Linked DNA regions of Oreochromis niloticus. The protein of the gene in region 2 purifies or fractionates together with the protein of the main gene of each other region. This does not show direct contact. Links are inferred from orthologs where the notes say so. Each region holds a gene or a part of one and is shown on either strand. Other genes may lie near its edges. The genes, in order: pip4p2, cdk5rap3 and ufm1.

The links.
Region 1: the proteins of cdk5rap3 (region 2) and pip4p2 purify together in Homo sapiens (affinity purification with mass spectrometry; 3 studies listed by BioGRID and IntAct, counting the BioPlex papers as one, with this or other methods). This does not show direct contact. The link is inferred for Oreochromis niloticus from reciprocal best matches to the Homo sapiens genes CDK5RAP3 and PIP4P2.
Region 3: the proteins of cdk5rap3 (region 2) and ufm1 purify together in Homo sapiens (co-immunoprecipitation; 3 studies listed by BioGRID and IntAct, with this or other methods). This does not show direct contact. The link is inferred for Oreochromis niloticus from reciprocal best matches to the Homo sapiens genes CDK5RAP3 and UFM1.

What each region holds. Positions count from the first base shown.
Region 1 is NC_031985.2:21,131,711-21,139,220, reverse strand, and holds the start of pip4p2 (type 2 phosphatidylinositol 4,5-bisphosphate 4-phosphatase), read left to right. Parts: upstream 1-4,434; 5' UTR 4,435-4,616; coding exon 4,617-4,722; intron 4,723-7,510. Other genes in the region: uncharacterized protein si:ch211-57n23.1, read right to left, coding at 387-934. UniProt on the Homo sapiens protein: Catalyzes the hydrolysis of phosphatidylinositol-4,5-bisphosphate (PtdIns-4,5-P2) to phosphatidylinositol-4-phosphate (PtdIns-4-P).
Region 2 is NC_031973.2:5,428,546-5,436,332, reverse strand, and holds the start of cdk5rap3 (CDK5 regulatory subunit-associated protein 3), read left to right. Parts: upstream 1-4,716; 5' UTR 4,717-4,876; coding exon 4,877-4,882; intron 4,883-5,171; coding exon 5,172-5,220; intron 5,221-5,373; coding exon 5,374-5,505; intron 5,506-6,093; coding exon 6,094-6,194; intron 6,195-6,300; coding exon 6,301-6,349; intron 6,350-6,356; exon of another isoform or gene 6,357-7,623; intron 7,624-7,787. UniProt on the Homo sapiens protein: Substrate adapter of E3 ligase complexes mediating ufmylation, the covalent attachment of the ubiquitin-like modifier UFM1 to substrate proteins, and which is involved in various processes, such as ribosome recycling and reticulophagy (also called ER-phagy).
Region 3 is NC_031975.2:15,565,485-15,573,291, reverse strand, and holds the start of ufm1 (ubiquitin-fold modifier 1), read left to right. Parts: upstream 1-4,783; 5' UTR 4,784-4,882; coding exon 4,883-4,884; intron 4,885-4,984; coding exon 4,985-5,041; intron 5,042-7,807. UniProt on the Homo sapiens protein: Ubiquitin-like modifier which can be covalently attached via an isopeptide bond to lysine residues of substrate proteins as a monomer or a lysine-linked polymer.

The DNA.
Region 1 (7,510 bases), on a different chromosome or scaffold from region 2:
TCACTTTGACTTTCAGATCAATCCATAGACCTTGAGGGCAAGGTCAGAGGCCAAGTATGACATGTTTTAAATCATTATACAGTACTTTCTATATATTGACAATACACTGCACACTTAGAATCATAGCTTCTAAGTTATAAGGCTTTTTGTCAGTTTTTGACCAATAAATCATTAAATTGACCTTGAAGACCTCGGTGGATGTAAATTTTAATTCATGGGGTGTGACATGATCCCACTCTAAAATTACAGAGTTCTTTTATTCATTTAAAACTTTAATAATATATATAGCCTATTTAATAGTATTCACCTCTACACCCACCAGCTGATCTTGGGTTATTCCTCCCACAAAGCTGATAAATGAATTCTCCACTGTTATTGTTTCTTACCTCGTAAAGACACCCCGCTCCTTGCCCTCTTTCCTCTTCTCTGCCAGAGAGACAAACACGGTCTCCATGCTTTGCATAGTTTCGGTCACTTTCTGGTGGTCTGATCGGATCCCCTGGACCTCCTCTCTAGCTTGGTGGTCGTAGGACAGCCCTCCCTCCTCCACCCCGCTGGAGGTGGACACCGCCTGCAGGGCCGCCCTGTTCTGCAGAACAAGCAGACGAGACCTGGCAAACTCTTTGGGTCCTGCTATGTTTTCCCAGCAGATTGGAGATGATGGAGGGAGCCAGAAGCGCTGTGTGCAGTTGACTGGCTTTTCTGAGGACTCTGTTGTGAAGGGGCTGTCAGCGGGGAAGCTGTGGAGCAGGTGCAGAAGAGACGATCCAGAGCCCCACTCCCAGTCCTCGAAATCCGACTCCCCTGACCCTTGCTCAGGGGGGAAACTAGGAGGAGGACTTGCTGGTCCTCCATCCTCTGCTGGAGAACAGATCCCCAACAGGAGGCAGAAGGACAGGCAGAGCCAAGCCCTGCTCACTGTCCCCTGGAGCATCTCCAAACTGACTGCATTAAAAAGAAAAAGACTTAGACACGCAGGAATCACCAGAGAAAATCCATTCACTATGATTATTATCAAGTATTCTCATACTTAAACTTCATGTACAAGAGAAAACTACTGTGTGAAGGGCAAGAAATTTCTACTGATCAATAGAAACATGAAAAATAACACTGAGACCTCTTGATTGCATGCATTCAGTGACATAACATTCAAAATAAAAGCATGAAGTTTATTAAGTTCAATAGCAAATAAGCTTAAATAAATTTCTTATTAAATTACACCAAAAAATAAATCCTGTACAAAACCAGAGAACATACATTTGTGTTTTTTTCTCCTGCAGTTTAACCGGAAATTTGCCTCAGTTTGGGTAGCGTCATAGTTGGCAACAAATCAAAACTGCAAACGCATCACTGAAGGAAATCCTGAACTCCAGATCACCGCGATGTTTTTTTTTTGTTTTTTTTTTTACGGATGTAATCTGAATTTTCATTTTAAGTTGACTTTTGTTCAGCGGTCTTACCTTACAGAGAGAGCACAGAGCACAGAGCGGTCTCTGTTTGTGCGTAGCGGCGCTCCTCTGGTGCCTGCAGCCGTCGGAAAAAATGAGTCGTTCACTGCAGACTGTTACATGCAATCTGAATCACTTTTACTGGCCCGGTAACAGCAGAATCAGGAGCTTGGATTTTTCCTCAGTGGAAGGGGATGGGATGGGAGATTGTAAAATGCATGTGAGGTGTGGGTTACAGTAAAAACTCCCTGCTGGAGGGAGAGAGCGCCATTCTCTGCATCGTATCCCTGCTTTGATGTGTATTTACTTCTGTGTGAGCTTCATTTTCTATGCTCATTTGTGCTTTACTTCTTTTGTGAAGACTTTTTGATTTGAGTGACAGGGGGAGAAGGATGTGCGATGCTGTATTTATGAGCCATTTACAACATCCTAAACAGCTACAGCAACACGCTCGAATTAAAACACCAAATCTGCTTCTTAAACTAGCTGTTCTGAAACCATCCCTGAGTTACACTTGAACACGATGCTACCCTGAAGTTACTGGAGAGAAAAGAGTTTCAAAAAGTACCCAGACTGTCCATGAGCTCAAAACTCATGCAGAGCATCTGTAGTTATTTAGCGAGTTTTTTGAATGACCAGAGAGTGGATCTACACAGCCTGAGGCTTTCACCCTGACATAAGCTGCAAGGAATGGGACACATTTTGGCACAAACAAGCCAGGGTTTTGCAATTTAAGGGGAATGACGAGCAGTTTTCTGAAAACAAACACTAAATTTGAGGATGAATTGTAAAACATAAAAAGGGTGGGACTTAAAAGCATTACACCACCATGAGGTCCTGTTTATGCCATAAATCACTGGTTTAGCTTAAGTTTGCCTGCTGCCTCGCAAAGTAAAGTTTTTAAAGGTATTCACTGGGTATTTTAGTAAAATGTAAAAATAACATGACAATAATAAGAAGCCGAATAAAGTTAAAATATTAATTCCACTTTGTTTACATGGTTCAGTAACACTTCATTTATTTGATCTGTTTGTAAGAGTTGACTACTTTTATAGTAATTTTGTATCTTTATACTATTGTTGTCACCAAAAAGTGATCTAATGTGACTTTGACCTTATTAAAAAAGTATCTACACACAGAAATATACATTTTTACAAGCTTTTATCGTGGTTTGGATTGTCTGGAAACAAACGGCACATTTGAGAGAAAAACCAACACTATTATTCCCTTGATGGAAAGATTTCACTTTATGAGCATGTGTGCTGGAAAATATTGTGATTTACTTTTAATTTTTCTTTTCAGTGAGAGAGATCAAAGCTTAAATTTTACAATCCCAATTCTGAAAAATTTGGGATGCTGGAAAACATGTCGTCAGATGTTTAAACTGAGAAAGTGCATCTTTTTCAGTCAAACTGAAAAAGGAGTGCTGTTTATAGTATGAACAGTCGGCTCTATAAAGGCCATCTGTGTGGTTCACATGTTTGTATAATTGTGTCCAAATGTTGTAAATACAGTGAAAAGCAAAGTCCAAAACTGACTCTGAAATAAAGAGAAATCTGAGTCACAATACTTTGAAAATTCTGGCAAAAGCCCTGATCACTTGTATGTTTATTTATTTATTTTGGGGGGTTGTTATATCTGAGGCTATTAAATGCCCAGAAGTTTTTCTTTTGCAATTCATACTACACTAAAGTAATAGATAGACAAATATAAAGACATTTCTAAAGGACCAACATTTTTTTAAATGATGATTTATTATTTTATGACTCTCTTGTGGTTGTAATTGCAGGACAGTCTGAGCAGTGAGCTATCAGAACCTTTTCCCGCAGGTTTTTTTAGTTTTCTGTAATGATTTCTTTCATTGACTGCAGCAGCATTCCTTTATCATGTACAATGCTGTACTGAGACTTACCATTATAACTGCACTTCTTATTCTTGTATTAAATGGGATTAAAAGTGCAGTTAAACATCTTTACACAGGCAGAAAACGGCAGGTATGCTTAACAGTTACTTAATTTTGGTACTCGTGGTCCTCCATATTGTAAAATGAGTTTGCCACCCCTGGTCTACATAAAAAACACAACACAGCGGGACTTTGCTGTGTGATACGGAAGCGTAGTACGGAAGCGTAGAGCTACGGAAGCGTAGAGCTGCCACCCAGGCAAAAGAAAAATAGAAGTATATCACGTTATAACGTGAAAAGTTTATTGTTCTAACAAGATACTTTTCATGTTTGTACAATATACTATCATGTTTGTACAATATACTATGTTTGTACAATATACTTTTGACGTTTGAACAACATAATATCACGTTATTACAATATTCATAAATATCACGTTCGTACAATATATTTATATTGTACGAACGTGATAATTATGCATATAATTATTGTTCAAACTTTTGACGTTTGAACAATATAATATCACGTTATTACAATATGCATAATTATCACGTTCGTACAATATAAATATATTGTACGAACGTGATATTTATGTATATTGTAATAACGTGATATTATATTGTTCAAACGTCAAAAGTATATTGTACAAACATGAAAAGTATCTTGTTAGAACAATAAACTTTTCACGTTATAACGTGATATACTTCTATTTTTCTTTTGCCTGGGTGGCAGCTCTACGCTTCCGTAGCTCTACGCTTCCGTAGTGTGAACCTGACAATAGTAAAATATGGTGCGAGCGTGCTCTGACTGCACTGCCCCGGACCTCAGTAATCCCACGGTGACATCTAGCGGCAACAGCTGTGAGTTGCTGCTTTTTCTTATCCCACCGTTTAAACTCTCAAACTTTATCGTCACGTATGGATTTCATTAATGTTGTTGTTATTCTTAGGCTTAAATATGAATAAATCTGTATTTGGGGTATTAAAGGGAACAACGCATTTTAAATCAATGCAGTTTATCAGGAAAAAATTAAAAAATTCCTTCAGTGTGCACCAGCATGAACTCTGCCCATGCCCGGGGCCATATCTTAGAGGGGCGGGGACCACCGCGGAGCTCCTCCCCCTCCAGGCTGCCGTCAGCGGGGCTGCTGCTGCTGCTGGACCGGAGCGAGTCGGCACCAACAACCAGCCTCTGGCTGCTCCTCCGTGCTGAGGGAAAACTCGGTGCAGCCAGGAGCCACCCCGTCATTTATCACGGTCAACGACATGGCCTCCGACGGCATGGACGAGCGATCTCCGCTGCTGTCGGGCCCCAACTCCGAGAATGTGACCCCGACAGCTCCCCCGTACCTGCAGGATTCAAGTCCCCGAGGTAAACACGCCACACGCAGCACCCCGCCGCCTGCATGCTGAATCATTTTCAGGGCGTATCGAGTTTGTGTGAGTGCGTAAATAAAGCTGCAGCAAGGCGAGGCAAGGGCATTGCTGGGAAATCAGTCGGCAGCTGACTGAAAGGTGGAGCTTGCACTGTGAGAACTGGAGCAGTGGGTTATGTAGAAGGGGCCTGCGGTAATACCAGCAGTAGCATCAAACAGTGTTTTCAGTGCAGAGATTTCTACATCACGATTCACTGGGGCCTGCCGTGACTTTGGCTAGCAAAAAAAAAAGAAAAAAAAAAAGGTGTGAGCTGAAGCTCTGCAAAGCCTCAGTAGATTTTAGGTTGAATGTTGACGTGGGAGCACTGAGGCATTGCAGATGGAGGCAGGCGAAGCATCCTTTTGTCCAGCTGCAGATCAACAAAAGCACCCACAGGTGTGCCCTTTACGGGAGAAATAATGCAACACGAGTTAAATGTCGTATTCTCCTGTTTTAATGATGGCAGCTGTGAGTTTTGCTCGTTTGCATGGTGAATGCACTGTAAGCGACGAGCTTGAGCCTTCTTGCATGATTTGCATCTTTCATACAGCAGAAAACATAAACATGTAAGTTACAGCCCACAGTGCTTGTTCTCAGGACTGGCAGCAGCTGTCTGCACTGACCTTTGCTCTGAATATAATCTCCTCAAATTCTCAATTTATTCTTCTCCACAAGAAGAAAGACGAAGCAAAGTGCTTGTGGGAGCTGCAAAAATGCATGATCTCACATAGAGCCCTCCTTGTGTTTTGCTGGCATTAAATATTGATTCAGGCTTTACTTTCACCTCAGATCACATTCTCTTGTCTGAGGATTAGATTTTGAGTGCTACTTTCAGTGGTATTTGACTTTTTTTCCCCTGTTTCCGCTTCTAAGTTTTTGTCAGCGGCCTGACAGAAACAACGTTTCTTTGCTTTGCAGCAGCTCGGGATGGTCGGCAGCAAATGAATGGACTCATTGACCGTGTAAATCAGTTTAAGGAGCATTTCAGGCCAATTTCAAACAAACAGAGGAGAGAAAGAGAGAGAGAAGTGCTTGTTGTTCTCGAGACGTCTAATCCCACAGAATTCATATTTCACCACGGGATTAAACTCTTAATGCTGGACTGTAATAATCTAGGAAGCGAGAGCCTGGCTGGATGCTAACACAGTGACACAGTTTCTCCCTCCACCCTCTCTGCAGACTGGATTATTGGCTAATTCCAGTGTGGGTTTGTAAAATGGATTAATTTGATCCTAAGATGCCAAAACTGTGACATTTCCCGGAAACACAATGACTGTGACGCTGCTTTGACTAATGAGCAGCTGCATTAAGGCACTAAAGTGAGCTGTGGCTTGAATTTAAATTTTTATGATATCCATGTAATACTTGTTGTGTTCACTGAAATGATTCTGTAGTAGCAGGTAGAAATTCAGTGGCTGCTGCTTGTTTTTTTTAATTTTGCCCTAAAATAATCAAAGAAAAACAAACGGTCTGCCTCGTTTAAAATGAAGCTTTACCAGCTTCACATTATCAGGACTAATTAGTCCAAGGTGAAGTCATGAAACATCAGCAAATATGTTAACAGGTTTCTTTATATGAAGAGATCCAGTTACCCTGCTATTACAGTACCGAAATAGAAAGGTCTGATTCTTCTTGTTAGCAACTCATGGTCACTTTATTAGGTACACCTGTTCAACCGGTCATTAATGCAAATATCTAATCAGCCAGTTGCATGGCACTAACTCGGTGCATTGATGCATGTAGACATGAAGACGACTAACTGAGAATCAAACTGGAGAAGAAGGGTGGTTTAAGTGACTCTGAATGTGGCATTGTTGTTGGAGTCAGACGAGCTGGTTTGAGTATTTCAGAAACTGCTCATCTACTGAGATTTTCCCCACACAACCGTCTCTACAATTTACAGAGATTTGTCAGAAAGTGAGAACAAATCCTGATCTGATAGAATGTCAATAGCAACTGAAAAAAGCAATCAACCAAGATATGGAGAAGAGGATCTCTGAATGCAGAACATTTTGAACCTTGAAGCAGATGAGCGACAGCAGCAGAAGATCATCGCAGGTGAGACTCCTGTCAGCTAATAACAGGAAACTGAGACTACAGTTCACACAAGCTCACCAAACATGGACAATAGAAGACTGGAAAAACATTGACTTGTGTGATGAGACTTGATGTTAGATGGTAAGGTTACTGACCACATCCATCGCTTTATGACCGCAGTGTACCCAGCCTCAGATGTTTGCTTCCAGCAGGATAACACACAATGCCATAAACAGGTTTCTTGAACATGACAGTGAGTTCACTGTGCAGGCGACAGATTTGCAGCAACTGTGTGATGCCATCATGTCAATATGGACATTACACCATGGAGAAAGCGCCTTGTTGAAGCCACGAAGAACTAAGGAAGCTCTAAAGGCAAAAAAAAGGGGTCCCATAAAATCCTGGAAAGGTGTACCTAATAAAGTGTCTGGCAAGTGTATATAAATTCAGTTACATTAGTATGAAAAATCTGTTACTTCACTTTCTCATTAAAAAAACACTGTTATCTTGTTTTGTTTTGTTAGTAGTAGAAACTCTCAGTGTCATGTTTATCATGAAAACACAAAGTTAAAAATATTAACTTGCTGATTCCACCATTAAAGAACTGCCTCCAAAGAGAGAGCAGCTACTGTGTGGAAGTGGGTGGGTTACAAGAACATGTGACTTAATGTGACCAATGACGAGTCTTTATCACAGGTCAGTGGAAG
Region 2 (7,787 bases):
AACTGCCAAAATACAAAAAGTCAGAAATTACATATTTTAAACTGAATTTTGTAAGTTTCACGTTTACAACAGTGCATCATGTCCTCAAAACCACAAAATAGCATTTTTACTGTAGCTGTAAGCACAATCAGTGAGACTATTATGGTAAGTCCAGCTCTGAGGTCTTTTTAATTTAGTTTTACCAGAATTTAGAGGAATTTTGTTGAGTTACTTTACCAAAGCGGGGACCAGATAGATTCAATGAAAACATAAACGTGCGATAGACACATAAATTGTATGATCTTGTTCAGGGAGCGTATTAAGTAGTTTAGATTAACCCCACCTCTCTCTGCAATATTTAAAATTTAAACTTGAAGCTTTGGATGAAACTTTAAAAAGTGTTTAGATAAAAGCGTGGCTCATAAACCAAATTTTATGACTTTCACAAACACAACCATATCGCTCTCTTTTATGAGGGCTGACAGGAAGCCAGGCCCTTTGGTGTGGTTATTTTATCATGTAGCACCTATGCAAATAAAGAGTCCATGCCCTTTGCAGAAACACTCATCCTACTCTTATCTGACCCATGTGATGTTTGGCACCTGGCACGAACGAAGAGTGCAAAGGTTCTTTGATTTAAAGTTTTGGAAACAGCAATGCAGGCACCTTTTACATTTATTCCTCTGGACCCGGTCTTGCTCTTTGCTTAATAACCTGGGTTTGTGGTTTTCACAGACACTAGGGTAATAGTTGCTCACCAAGAAGAACTTTTACAAGTGACTGAAACACTTCAAAGTGTTTACTTGTGTTTCCACAGCTTCTTTTATGTCACATTCCTTAGATTTTAGCATTTTTTTTCTCTCTGTTTCATCATCTGTTTGTTTATTCCTACACAAAAAGGACAGGTTTCTTCATAGCAAACATTTACAGAGCATTTGCATAATTTTGTTGACTCTCCATCAAAACGGTTTCTACAAGACAAAATACCTTCTCGGCACTTTCACACCATGTTAAGTAAGAGAGCTTGTCAATATGCACACATATTTCCAAAAGAATGCTGTGTTTGACTTAGATGTGACCTTTGAGACAAAAACTCCTGTTGACACAAAGGAGGCCCTCCATTTTAATAAGTTACCATGTATTCTGTTATGTGTGGGTGAGCCGCCCAAGCAAAGCCTCAGAGATCACAGCAGGAACTGTGGCGCACAATCGGAAATCACTAACAACCTGCAAAGTCTTTGAAAAGAATAACGTTTGAGACGCAGAAAGACAGAGAGGAGCCTCCAAGGGCACCGAGGGCTTTGCTGCCTTTGTAACTTAAACTGAAGGTTCACTAGATTCTCGGGTTTCATTCCTTGTACCAGACTTGCTGTTGACCCCTAGCAGCAAAGTTTTTTAGCTCGTCTGATTATTTCCATTAATAAAAATGTCTTTTAGTCATTTGTTCCAGAGGTCTTCCTGCCTTCTCAAAGGTCACAAAAATCCACAGACTGATTAAATTGTAAACTTCACACAGGTGCAAAGTCCAAAAAGGTTAATTTGTGACTGTAACTCTTTTATGACTTAGTGTTATTCTAACCAGCTCAAACATGACAAATAAAATCATGTTAAAACATATCTGCACTATGTTATTTAGCATGCATAGTAACCCTGTTGGCCTCCTAATACTTTCTGATGTCAGACAATGCATTAGTGTCTCCTTCAGGCTTCTACCCTTTTTAATTATTCAATTAACTGTCTTTAAAACAGCGGCAAAGGTCAAAATGTGTCACAGTTTTGTCCATCTCAAGCTGATTTCTTCAAATGTTTTCTTCTGTAAATCAAAAGCTCTCAAACTGTGCATTTGTTTAATATAAGATGAGTAAAAATCCCAAGTTCTCACTTTTTAGAGGCTGAAATCATCGAATGTCAGACCTCTTTTCCAGGAGATTTTACTTCAGCCATAATTTGACTGTTAAAACACAGCACTCACCTCAAGTTACCCAAGCTAATGTCTCCATATTTATTGTTTTTGTCCCTGAAAAACTAAAAAATATCCAGTTTGCATCCACATACTGTGAAAAAATAAAGTCAATTCTCCAACTTAAGGAGCTAGAAACAAAAAACTTTTGACATTTTCACTTGGAAATTTGACTTTAGCTGTTGTTTGGCTATACAAATACAGTACTGCAGTTCTAATATGTTGATCAGGGTTGTTGAGCTGTGGAAATACCAGCGAAAAAGATGGAAGTAGCATGTTGATTTTTGTAATTAGAGTTAAATGTGTATTTCTTGCACAGATAAAAGTCTAGTTTCCAGTGCAGTTCATCGGAGGCTTTCAGGTGCGCTCGTTCTCTTACCTTGTTCACAGTGTGCTGGCTGAAAGGGGACTCTCTCACATGCGACACTGTCTCGGCATGCTTACAAACTTTCTGTCTCCGCTCTTTGTTTTTCAGTTGATTCTTTTTCCTCTCCTCAGGTGAGCGTGCACAGGTGCAGCATCTCTCTCCCTCTGCCTCTCCCTCTTACCTTGTCCCTCTGCACTCCTCTTTAGCACACACCCTCCTCAAACACACACATACACACACACCTAGAGCCCGCCCAGCTGAGTGCATGACTGAGGAAATGTTGCAGCCATGTGATTTTCAGCTCAGTCCCATATCAAGATCTCTGACATCAGGGCTAATGTGAACCTGAGAGGTGAGCGGCTTTCCAAACTGTAAATAAAACCCCCGTTATCAGTCTCACTTTAAATCCAAGTATTGTTTTAATGTGGACTTTGGAGTCAGAATAAAGTCACCTTTCACTGAGCATTTTCTCTTACATAAGTCTTTGTGATGGCTTTAAGCTGGAGGGAGAGAACGAGAGCAATCGAGCTGCTTTGCATGGCTTGTTTAAAATCACAGACAGTGAATAGACGCTTAATTTGCAAGTTTGGTCACCATTCAAATGAACTGAAATTAGGCCACTACAGAGACTCTGTTGCTGCAGGGATTTAACGCTTGTGTTTTCATGTTTGTCCAGTCTGGAGTTCACAAGAAGCCAAATTGTTGAATTATTGCTGTTGTTTTTCACCCATATCCCTTTTTTCAATAACAAGAATACACTGTGTCAGTCTCTGTTTGCTCAGATTTAAGATTATGTGACGTAATGAACAAAATAAAACTGTAATGACACATTTAACTTTTTAAAAAAGTTTTTAGTAAATAAATGTTTTTTTAAATAATTTACATAACAAAGTTTAATGTTTCGTTATTAATCACTGAATGGCCAAAATCAAACATAAATAAATAAATATTAATAATGATGTCTCATCAAATGTATAAAATATAACAGATGAACATAAAATGTAGGGTTAATTGATATTTAATTAATTAATTAATGTTATTTTTCTCCTCTGTCTACCAGTATGATGTTTTGCCCCTATGGTGTTTCTGCCAGTTCCTTTCTGTACCCCGCTCATGTATTGAGCCACATGCCTGTTGATCTTAGCCGTTATAATGCCCGACAAGAGCTTCCATGTGGTACTGAGGCAGGTTATTGGCCAATAGTTGGATGGGGCTGGTCCCTTCTGGGGATCCTCTGGGATCTGGACGGCCCAGTCTTCGGTTAGTCATGCTGGGTGTGCCTCTTTTATTTGCAGTTGGTTCCTTTGTGCAGTTAGTGTCTTCAGCTAGTAGGAGTGAATCATGTTGGGGCCTGGTGCTATCCAACTCTTCATACTGGAGACCGTTTCTTGGATGTCTGCCACTGTAATGGTACTAAACCCTGTTCAGGAAGGTTGCTGTGGTCTTAGATCTACTAGCCACTGAGGCCTCGCTCAATGCCTTCAACACACCAGTTGTACTTGGTACCCAATCTCGGGTGGGGGTGATGATATCTCCCCCTTGACCTGACATCCTGGCCCCCCCTTGCTGTAGCATTTGTGTTGTACTTCATCAATCTCCAGTTGTGATAGCAGTTGCTTCTTCCGCATGCTGGAACACTGAGCTACGTAACCCTTTCTGTTGGGGTTAATTGCATAGTAGCATTCCAACAGCACCGTGTTCTCATCCCTTGTCCACGTCTGAGCTTCTTGTTCCACTAGTCCATTTCTCATCATTTCATCATCTCATTTCAACAAATTTCATTTTTTTAGTTTTTTAAACAATAAAATTAAGTTTAGAATTCAAAATTTCCTATTTATGGATATAAAACTTTGGATTAGTGTTCTGATTCTTTTCCCCTCAATTTTGTACATGAATTTAAACATGCAAAGCATTAAGTGCAAAGAAATAGCATACTTACAATAGTGTGCTTGGATAATAGAGAAATATGTATATAGGAAAGCATGAAATAAACAAATAAAGAGAGATATAAATGAGATGTAGACACATAACCAGAATCATTTAAATACATGTTTAAAGAAATTAGAGCACATTTGTCACAACTATGTCAAATGTTTTTATTTTAACAGGCTTACAGGTAATAACTGTCTAGATAGATAGATAGATGTAGATTTCCTTTTCTGAGGGGAAACTACATTTATGTTTATTTAACTGTGCAAGAAATATCATCAGACCTTTTTAAAAACAAATGACTGACCCATAACAAGAAATAGCTAACATTTTCCAAGTATTCTTCCACATTTTCCATGGGCTACTCTTAGTTTGGGAATAACTGACCTTAAGTAAAGTGACACTATCGCCCTCTAGCGACAGTCTCATTAGTTGCACCAATCAGGGGCCACGACGATTCACCAATCCAAATGCAGCCATCGACATGCCAACATCCCCTCTTCCTATTGGCTCTGCTTCTCCTAACGTGTCATAAACAGGAAAGCTCCGGATGGTGATGATAATCCTGCATATAAACCGGAATATAATCGTATAATGAAGCTCTGAATTATCGGAAACGTTTTTAAAAAGAAAGGGAAATTATGGAGGTGAGATTAAACTTAGTTTTTATCTGAGCTGGCTTTAAAAACTAGCCTGCGAGCTAACGCTAGCTATCTGACAGTCAAAAGTCCACTTAAGTGACAGAGAAATGAACACTTTACACTGAGTTTAAGTTAGCAGAGAAAACAATCTGTCCTATGACATTTTTTAAGATATTTATTCACAATGTCTTCCTAACGGTTTAATGTGATATTGTCCTTTCCGTAAGTTAAATAAGAGAGGTAAAGAGGAAGTAAAAGGTGTAAATAACAAAATGTATTAACTGTCTCACTGCAGCGGAACATTCAGAACCTTCCCATCGACATACAGACCAGCAAACTTTTAGGTAAGACAAAAACACGCACATTTAAAGCAAGCACTAGTTTCTCTATGTGTTCCTCTGTAGCTGGGCTACTAGCAGCTAATACAGCCCTGTAGTCCTCTAGCATGCTGGCTGAAACAGATGTTACAGATGTAAACTCGCTCTGTGTGGTTGCAGACTGGCTGGTGGATCGGAGGCACTGTAACCTGAAATGGCAAAGTGCAGTGAAGGTGATCAGGGAGAAGATCAATGCTGCCATCCAGGACATGCCGGAGAACGAGGAGATCAAGGCGCTCCTCTCCGGCTCATGTAGGTCCCCTACAACTCAATACACCCACCCAGCCATCGACTTCTCTGAGAGATGAATCTATTATGGACCCAGCAGGCTATTTAGCACCATTTCTACTATTCTCAGGGACTCTCCTTTCCAACCAGACATAGGTTTAGGGTTACTTTATAATCATCAATGAAGGCTTAAACCCCACTTCACAACTTTATTAATGTTTTTTTCTTGTTATCATTATTCTTATTTTAAGGTGGTGTTACAACCCTGCTAATGACTGCAACAAAGTGGAGACTAACACTGGAGTTTTTTTAATGGTTTTATTTTAAAATACTGTCCAATCTAAGCTAATAATGGCATTCAGGAGAGCATGACAAGGTTTAGCAATAAGTGCTGTCACTCCCAAACCAACCTCAGGCATGCTTTTGCACAACTTGTGGACAACTAGCAGTTAACCTCAGGCAACTCCCAAAGACTCTTGCACTGCTACTGCAACACCAGCAGGGGTTGCAGAGGAGCATGGCTTTGGTGTTTATTGTATTTTAAGCAGCTGTTAATATGCACTGCTTTTAAATCTTCATCCATATCTGTGCTTTGTTTGTTTTCACTGACAGACATTCACTACTTTCACTGCTTGAGGATCGTGGAGATCCTGAAGGGAACTGAGGCTTCCTCCAAGAACATCTTTGGCAGATACTCGTCACAGAGGATGAAGGTGAGAGGATTCATACACTGGCCTGTCAGTGTCACATGTTAAGGGGATTTTTTTTATTTGGGATTTCTGCTGTAAAACCTTCTCCCTTGTTGTTTTGTTTTCACAGGACTGGCAGGAGATTGTGTCTCTTTATGAAGCAGATAATGTCTATTTGGGTAAGTGTGTTAGGAAAATAAGGGAAAGACATATCACAATGTCTTCTTTATAGTATAAAAACACCTGTGAACGCAGCTACGTGTGTTTTTGCTCTGTATTTTATACAGGGTGTCTCTGGCTCCTTTAAAAATAAATCTTAAAATATTTTTAATACATATTTACTGACAGTATGGATGAGTTTTAAGTGTTTTTGGTCTTGTTAATGTGCAAATTTCCATCTCTCAGTGCTGCTATTTTTGTCCCATTTAGGTCATGAAATGTGACTGTGTACAAATATGTGTTAATTCTTTGTAGTTCAGCTAAGACTTTCATGCTGTTTAACATGCGTAAAACCAATTAGTAATGAGATAATGTATACTGGTTAACCTAATTATTGTAGCTTGTGCCTAAAAGAATGTCTTAAATATAAGGACCCCTGTACTTGGGCCCAGGCAGGAAATTGGTTTAGGCCTAATTGGATGTTGGCCTTTCAACACACTGGTGGAGAAGGCAAAGCAGACCAGTCTACTTGTTTACACAAAGTGCCTATGAGACTGTTTGTTTTCAGTTTATGTCATATTGTCTATATTTATTTAATTAGCTTGTTTATTTTGCAGAGACAATAAACAAGACCCGAAAGCTCATTTTCATCTGTAGTTTTTAGACAGATGAACCGAGTCAGTAAATATAAAAGCATTCTTTAGTGCAAATAAATTTAAACCATGTTAACCAAAGTTCATTTTCACACAGCTTGCTGTCTGCAGAACTGCGACTCTTTCAGCCACGTTTTCTGATGTTCTGTGGTTAGAAATTTCACAACTCTGCTGCCTTAACAGAAAAACAGTTTAATCATCCAGTGTTGTGGACTAAAATGTAAAACTTTCCATATAAAGATTGCTGATATAGCAGCACAAAGCAAGTCCAAGAGAACTTCTTTGTGACGTTTGCATGTCACAGTAAATTTTAGAGCTCTATGTACGCCCTCTAATTATCACATTTCCCAAGTAGGGCCTTGTGGATGTACAAAGTCTAACATGTGCATATCAAATACAGCTAATGTAGAGGAGTATAGAAGTCACTTCACTATGGTTAGAAAACTTTAAATTAGCAGCTAAAACTGACATCTCCTCAGAGGAAGGTGGTTCATGTTGCCAAATGTTAGTATTGGTTCCACTTGGGCTTCAGTCATGTCCTTGATTCTGCTCCAGCATCAGAACACTGAGAACTTCCGGGGTACAAGATGTAAAGATGCAAGTTTAACGATAAATGGCTTCGTGCTGGTTGGAGCTAGTACCTGGAAATATGGAACGTGTTTCAGATTTAGCACCATGACATAGTGTTCAGAAAAACAATTATATATTTGGACAATATTCTTCAACAGCACCATGTACTTATATTTTTCTTGGTGATTATTTTTAACTTTACTTTAAAAGAGTGTATTTTCACCATAGATTGTAT
Region 3 (7,807 bases), on a different chromosome or scaffold from region 2:
ATATACATTTGGCCACTCACTTGCATCAGTGATTCATTTTGTTTGCGCTCTGTGTACCACCAGGATAATGTCTTGTCTCCTAAAAAGGATCTGGGGAATGCATTTACGACAGCAAGGTTAAATAGATCTATCAATAACATTAATAGTGGTTAGAGGCTGGGGCAGGGTGTCACATCAGTGTTCTGCACTCTATACAAACAGGGTGTCATGTATGTCACTGTACAGTGTTCTCTTGAGAAACATCCGAATATATATCAGGAAAGCTGCTTTGGTGCTTTGCTTATCATGCCCTCTCCCATGTTAACACAGCACAGGCAAATTATTCCCCAGCTCAAATTTAATTACGACTCAGTATGCTGGGGATTATGCAAAGTAAGTAAACATTAAAAGAATGACATTGGGGCTGTCCCCTGAGGTATAGTCGCCGTAGCTGTCACATATAATTATTCATTATTGCTTTTCACATGAGGGGCAATCTTATCGACGTGTGACCATGTAACAGCGCCGAAAATGATCATGAATTTTCCATCCTGGCATAAAAAGGTGTTGTTAGGCAGGATGTTATCAGAGGATACTTGTTTTAGTGCAGAGTCAAGCAGTTAATACAAATACATGAAGAATGAAGGGGGAAGAGAACACTGCGTTAAGACAACTGTGAGGAGATGAAGTAAACTTCAGCAAGCCTTTCAGAACATCAGAATAATAATATGGGCTAAATTCTTTTAGCTAACATCTGTGCAAAATGTTATTTTTTAACACTGTAAAAAATTGTTAATGGAGACACTTCAGATATGTTGAACAGCATTAGGACCAGAGAGGAAGCTTTCAGTGTCCTTAAAGTTTAGATCTACTGTGCTTAAACTGTTGAGACTGGAGCCATGTCTTCTGCAACAAGTGCTCCTTAAAAGTTACTTTACCAGAATTTTTTTTAATTTGGATTATACTTTATATCTGTATTCATTTCTTTGAATTTCCAATATCCCACTGAGATACTAACATGATTAGACACTGCTGCAAATGACACAGTGAGCAACTACAGGTTACCTAATACAAAGCAGAAATACAATGAACCTATGAATTAAGCTGCACAGCCATGACAAAAAGGGAGATGCACATAAATCCCAGTTAAAAACTCCCTATTTTAAATCAAAGAAACAAAGAAACAACTTAAATTAACCACAACGTGCACAGTCACAAACAAGTAATGCCTTTCATAGACCACTGGCACACTGGGCTCAGGTGTTGCCAGTGTTGCCTTACAGGAAACAAACCACACCGCCTCTCCAGTGCCTGCAGAGAAGAAACTGCCACACAGGCAGAATGAAAGAGAGGTGGGGTGAAGTGGATCATCTATGAGTTCTTCATGTTTGAAGGTGGGGTATTTTCTATTTATTTCAATAACCTAGAATGAGTTTAGGTGTTTGTTTTTTGCCAAGACCCACTGAGCCTGTCAGTGATTAACAGGAAATGAGAATTGTATTACTTTTTTATCCTGTTTGGACTGGCTTTGTTTTCTTTTCTATTAGTTTTAGATATTTGTGCACCACAAATCTTAACTGATATGTTACCCTCCTGAACTGATGACCCTTTGTCATGTTCAGCCTAGGCTTTGCTCATTTAAAAAAAATTAATACAAAAAAACAGATAAAAGATAAATCTCCAGTTTTTCTGGTAAAATCAACAGTGAGTGAGGTAAAAAGAATAATAAAATAAAACATGAGCCTTTCTGATCAGATCAAAATATCTGATGTTTCGTGTTTAGCTGCTGCACTGGCATTGTGCAGCGAGTAGAAACACAACACAGAAAAGCATAACACTGCTGAAACAGGCATAGCACACAACAATCAAACACTTTGGAGCTTTACTTAGTGGGTGTTGAAGAGTACTGTGCACAGCAGAATTTCCTATATATAAATAGATAGCTGTGTGAGCCAGAGTTCTTCAGCAGCAACTATAGACACTATTTCATTTACACGCTGCATTACCATTACTCGTGTTGCTTTATTTCACCGTGATGTCTATGCCCTTTTCCTGGAGATGTCCAATTATGTCAATATTTCTGCCAATCCAATGAAAATTTATACAAACTGTTCAGAAGTGACCTTTTGGAACTAAACTAATATCTGTTGCGTGCATACAGGAATGTGCATTAGGCACATAGATTTGGGCATATGTTTACACGCATAAGGAGGAGTATTAATGTAGTTAATTGTTATATTTCTGCTGGTAATGCTGGCATTTTCTCCCTCTGTCCATGAGGTTTGCCTTTTTTATGCTCTTTCAGTGGAAGCTACACAATGCACTAATCCTATTGCTGGGTTATGCATTTTGAACACACCCTCAGACTTTCTGCAAGAAGAAGATGATGGGCAACTGTCATGTTCTTCAAAGCAAATATTTCCTCTTTGCCACATTGACAGAGGCACTCCATGAAATGTGTCTTTCTGTATGGAACTCATTCATTATACATTTCTATTTATGATCAAAGAGAATGAGCTCAAGACAGGAACTTCAATCTGACTAGTTCATTAAAACTGCCCCGAATATGCTGAATTAAGTCTCTGTCTCTGTTTTTTTGGGCTGTCAATTACTGAAAACTGCATTCAGTGTATATTCATTATACGTCATCAGTACAAATGTCCTGCACAAAAGATTCTGCAAAAAAAACTTGAACCTTTGATCCATACAGTGGGACGAATTAAGTGACCAGTATGCTCTGAGTGCCATTTTGCTCTTATTGTATAATCATCTTTGGCCTCATTGAGGGAAGGTTCACTGCAAATCAATACAGAGTTGTTCTGAGTGTCCATTTCTATTCTATGATGACATACTTTAGTGGTGATAGTAGTGGTCGCTTCCACAATGACAATGCCACCATCACAAGTGGTCAGTGAATTGTTTGAAAAACACAGAATTATAGTCTGTGTTCTTCACAGTCACTGGATCTCAACCAACTTACACGCCTATGGGAGATGGAAGATTAACATATTAGGCACAGCTCTGCACCGTCATTATGAAGACACCAAGTTAAAGAAGATCATTTGGAAGAATTGTTTTTCCCTCCAGCATAGACTTGTAAAAATCAATGCCAAGGAGCTCTGAAGCTATTTTGGCAACTCGTGCTTTATGTGGGGTTTTCCTTTTCAGGCATCCTTGTGCTGTTTCTCATTTCCTCACATGGAACATTCCTCTATATTCCATGATACATTACTATGAAAGTTTTAATCCTTTGTGATTTTTTTTTTTTTAGTAAACTTCTTCTTTTTTCTACATTTTCCTGTGAAAAACTCGTCACTGAATCCCAGAGGTGTTTGCCTGAGTGTCTGCACTGGAACTCTGAGTCATCGAGTCTGTTGCCATCTTTTATGCTGGTTGTCATTTCACTGCCTACAGTGTATCACCTACTTTTTCTTACTACTGTACCAGAAGTGCCAGGAAAGAGGCTAAGAAAAGAAAAGAAAAGAAAAGAAAAGAAAATGTTATTTATAGCTAACAACCAATTTTTTCTTTAACCACACTGAAGACACGTTAAGTCACTTCTACCTTTCTTTTAGCATATTTTGCATGTAAAATCAGCTTTAATTGTAGTCTTTGCCTTCAGTTTGGATGTGAATGTGGATTTATTTTTGTTAGACTCATTAGGAACTTTACTAATTCAGAGCAACAGGTCAGAAAATGGCTTAAGATGAAGGCTGGTTTACATTAATCTTAAAGTGATATGTGTTACTATTTTATATGTGTATGTTATTTGACAATAGAAACTGTTATATTATTGGGAATAAAATTCCAAAGTATTATCGGGCTGTATTTTAATGTCACAAAATTCCAAAGTATAAAGTATGCTGGAGCACAAGAAGTAGGAAATAAGGTAGTTGTTAGCCACATTTACCATACAGTTTGTTAGTGGTTCTAACATCAAACATGTATTGAGATTTTGCCATTGTAGTGGGGCCATTTTCATCAAAAATAAAAGCAATCCAGAGGTTCTGCTGGAGTACATGAAGACTCTTAGATTCACTCTTACAGCCAAACAGTTCCTCTGCTTTGCTCATAGCTTTTACTCTTTAGAGACAGATTTAGTGAAAGCAGCTCTGGTTTTCTGGCAGCTGGCTTCATCAGGACATGAAGCTGTTTTCTTTGTTTGAGGCTCTGCCAAACTAACCACTAGGCGGGCATTATGACAGTGGTGCAACAGTGTTTTCTGAGGGAGACGGTAGTTCTTACTGGTACAGACTGTTCATAGTTTGGAAAGCTTTTTTTTAATCCACCAAAAGCTATATCACATTGTTAAAATTAGGGGGAGAAAATCCCCAAAGCACAGTGGGATACCTAAAGGTGTGCAAAGTATGAAAAATCTCAGATTTCTGTAAATGTTAAATTCTATGCATGAAACAAACTAATTAAAATTAAAGGTGATGCTTCTTTTCACCAAAAGAAGCACTGGATTTAATCATTTTCTTTTTAATTCTTACATTCTTCCCAACAACATCATGTCAAGCAGCAAATTTCCAATCTGAATGAGGGTTATGTTTGTTTAACGTCAAGAACCTGGATTGAGTTGAATAACAGTGCTGAAAGATGTCAGTGCGCCTCACAGAAGTAACTGCGTCTTGTTTATAACCTTTACGGTAATGGTTAGCTATTTGCTATGAATGCCTGTCCATTAATAGGACATACAATGGATTATGTTTGAATAATAATGCACAATTTAACTGAAAAAATTTAGTCATTTATAAAAAAAATCTTAGCTAACTATTAAACTTTAAAATAGATACATTTACTTCTCAAAATTGGCACCAGATGGATGACGTGTACGTGAGGGTCCTTCTGACTTCCGGGTTTGTATAAACAGATATCAAGCGGAGTCGCCTCGCCCATAAAGATGTGAGTTTTTGGACTTTCGTGAAATTTTGACATGGACATATTTTATATTCATTCACGTGTATCCGTCTGTTAACAACTGTAATGGTGTGTTCTTCATTAGGTCTAAAGTAACGTTTAAAATCACCCTGACGTCGGACCCCCGGCTACCATACAAAGTGTGAGTATACTGACAGCTCAGCAGTCACCGCTTTAATTTCTCAGCCAGCTACATTTTCGACTTTATTTAACGTTTAGTTAACATTTCACGGCTACTGCAGATATTTTGTGTTTGTAGTTTTTTACTAAGCAACGTAAAAACGTGGGGAATGAGTGAACATCTGCTAGTGCCGATGCTGACACTGTAATCACAGTCGGCTTCCGTTTTCTGTAGTGTGGCTTCACAGCATTTTATGAAGTCTGTTATGAATGAAACTGACTATCTTTAGGTCGTGATCAATGGGAATGGCACTCATTAAAGTAATTTGTATAATATATGTGAATCCTGACAAACAGCCAGAGTCATAAAAGTATTATTAAATTAATTTTAAACTTTTAACTGTATTTCTACAAGTTTTACAGCTTTTCCTATTAATATCCGCCATTCGTACTACATCAAAGTAGTTAAGTAATAGATAAATAATTAAATGACAGAAAAGTTTCTCGTTTTCCATTATTTACAATGACTCTGTAGTTTAAAAAAATATCTGAATGAATAAAAACTGAATAAAAGTTGGCTGTTTGGGGCCCTACATTTTAAAATTGCGTTGACGTCCCTGCTATATGCAGGATAAATTCACATCAGAATGTGGACAGGACGAGCAGAAACGGGAATCATTGTGGCCAAGGCTAAATGTAAATCAGACCTTTTAACATTAAGCCCTCAGACAGACTGTTATGGCTGTGGTGTTTGACTCTGCATTGCTTAAAGGCACAATGTGCTTTTTATAATCCAAGTCTTTGTCATAGTCAAGTACAGGCATGTTTAACAAAAACACTCTGCTTAGAATGCTAATTCAGAGTATAAGTCTTTTTTTAATCTAGAAAAAGTTAGTTTAGCGAATCTATTTTTTATAGTATTATTGTTATGAGTTTGATAATTTGATGAAATTGAAAAAAGCAAACATTCAATAGCTTTTGATACAGAGTTTCAAATTTTAAGCTGTATTCTTGAACCAAGTATTCAAATCTAGGTTTTCAATATTTTTTCTAATACTCTGGTTCTTCTGTTTGAACAACACTTGGGCGTATCAAGCAGATCCATTTCCGTTTCTAGTTGAACTTCAGGTTTCTGACAAATTACCTGAAATCCTTCATGGATTTCATGCAGAAATCATAGTTGAATCAATTTTTGCCATTTCTGCAGCTGATTTGTTTTATCTTTGTTTGTTTTTGGTTTTTTTAGTGCAATATAAAGTGGTAGCATGAACAATAAAAGACTGGAAAAAATCTTGTTCAGGTCTTATTTAAATAGATTATTAAATAGCTTATTATGAATGTATTCACATGAATGAAACCAGGGAATAAGGTGGAGCTGAATAGCTTTGTAGCACCTTGATCTAATGAGTAATTAAATTTGAGGTTCGACAGGTTCGGCAGATTATTAGTAAATGAGGTAATTTTTTGTGTCTGGTGCTGCTTCCAGTGTCATCACGGAGATACTTGCTCAGTAATAAGAAAATAATGACTTCCCACAGCCCACTTACAGCCTCAACACATCCTTTTCCATTCTTCTCATCCCTGTGATGCGTTCGTGGGGCAGACAAAAAGTTGCAATCGTGGTACAGTCTAGCTACATAAACAGATTAATGCTTTTTTTAAGTGCCAGGTAAATTCAAATGTAACATTTCAAACAGCTCAACACAAACGGAAACTGTTTCCATGCTGTTCGTGTCTCTGAGCTGCTTTATCTCACAAGCTGAGAAAAAAAATGTTTGAGACTGATACACAGACAAATAAATGTCAGGAGAGGAGAATGACATTATTTTTAAGTTAAGCACTGCTTAGCAGGTGAAATTTTATAGACTGGAAATTTAAATCTTACATGCAATGTCCTCATTTATTTCTAATAATTTTTGAAATGAGATATAAATAATGTTTTGCTGAATCAATGCTTTCAAAACTAGCTTGCAAAACTAAAAAAGTGTATTAAATTTATGTTATTCAAAGGTTGCATAAAATACCAGGCAGTTTAGTGCAGGGTAAACTGATTAGTTTGCAATATTGTGGTAGAATTTAGAATGATGCAACGTGTTGGGTTGGTTGCTTGCTGAGTACTGTTACTAGGTTACATCAAGGGTAGCAAACATCAATTCATATTTAAGGTGATTCACTCGCTGGATTTTACCTTCCACCTGTTAGCTTTAGCTTTGTGTCTAGGAGTTAGCAATCAGCCATATAACTAGAGCAGAGCATAGAGTAGCAGCACAGGTCATTTGATCAAAGTGTATACACAAAGAAAAATCTACTGGAGCTCACAAACAAATCATTATGTGACTTAATTCTAAGTCATTCTTATCCCCATGCTTAAGGATCCTCCCCCTGCCGAATCTCACTTTAACCCCTAAATAAAACCAAAGCAGTGTGTGCCACCTTACATAAAAGAAGTCTGACTGTTTCCTGCCTATTAGATTAACAAAAGGTATAATGGCTTTGTTTTATATACTGGTTTTACATACTGGATTATGTCAACTGGTTTTGTGTATATGGGCATAACATTCCTGCTATCACATTATCTCAAAGCACTTAAATTGTTGAGCTTTTGTTGACCTTTTAGGGACTAATTTGACATTAGTAGCAAATCAATGTGTGCTAACTTCTTAAAAAATATATACAAACAAAACATCTTAAAATCATATTATATGACAATCATTTTTGTAAGCAGCACCAAATGAAATCCCTATATTTTAACTATATTATTACAAAGCAGAGTTTGAAAGCAAGATTA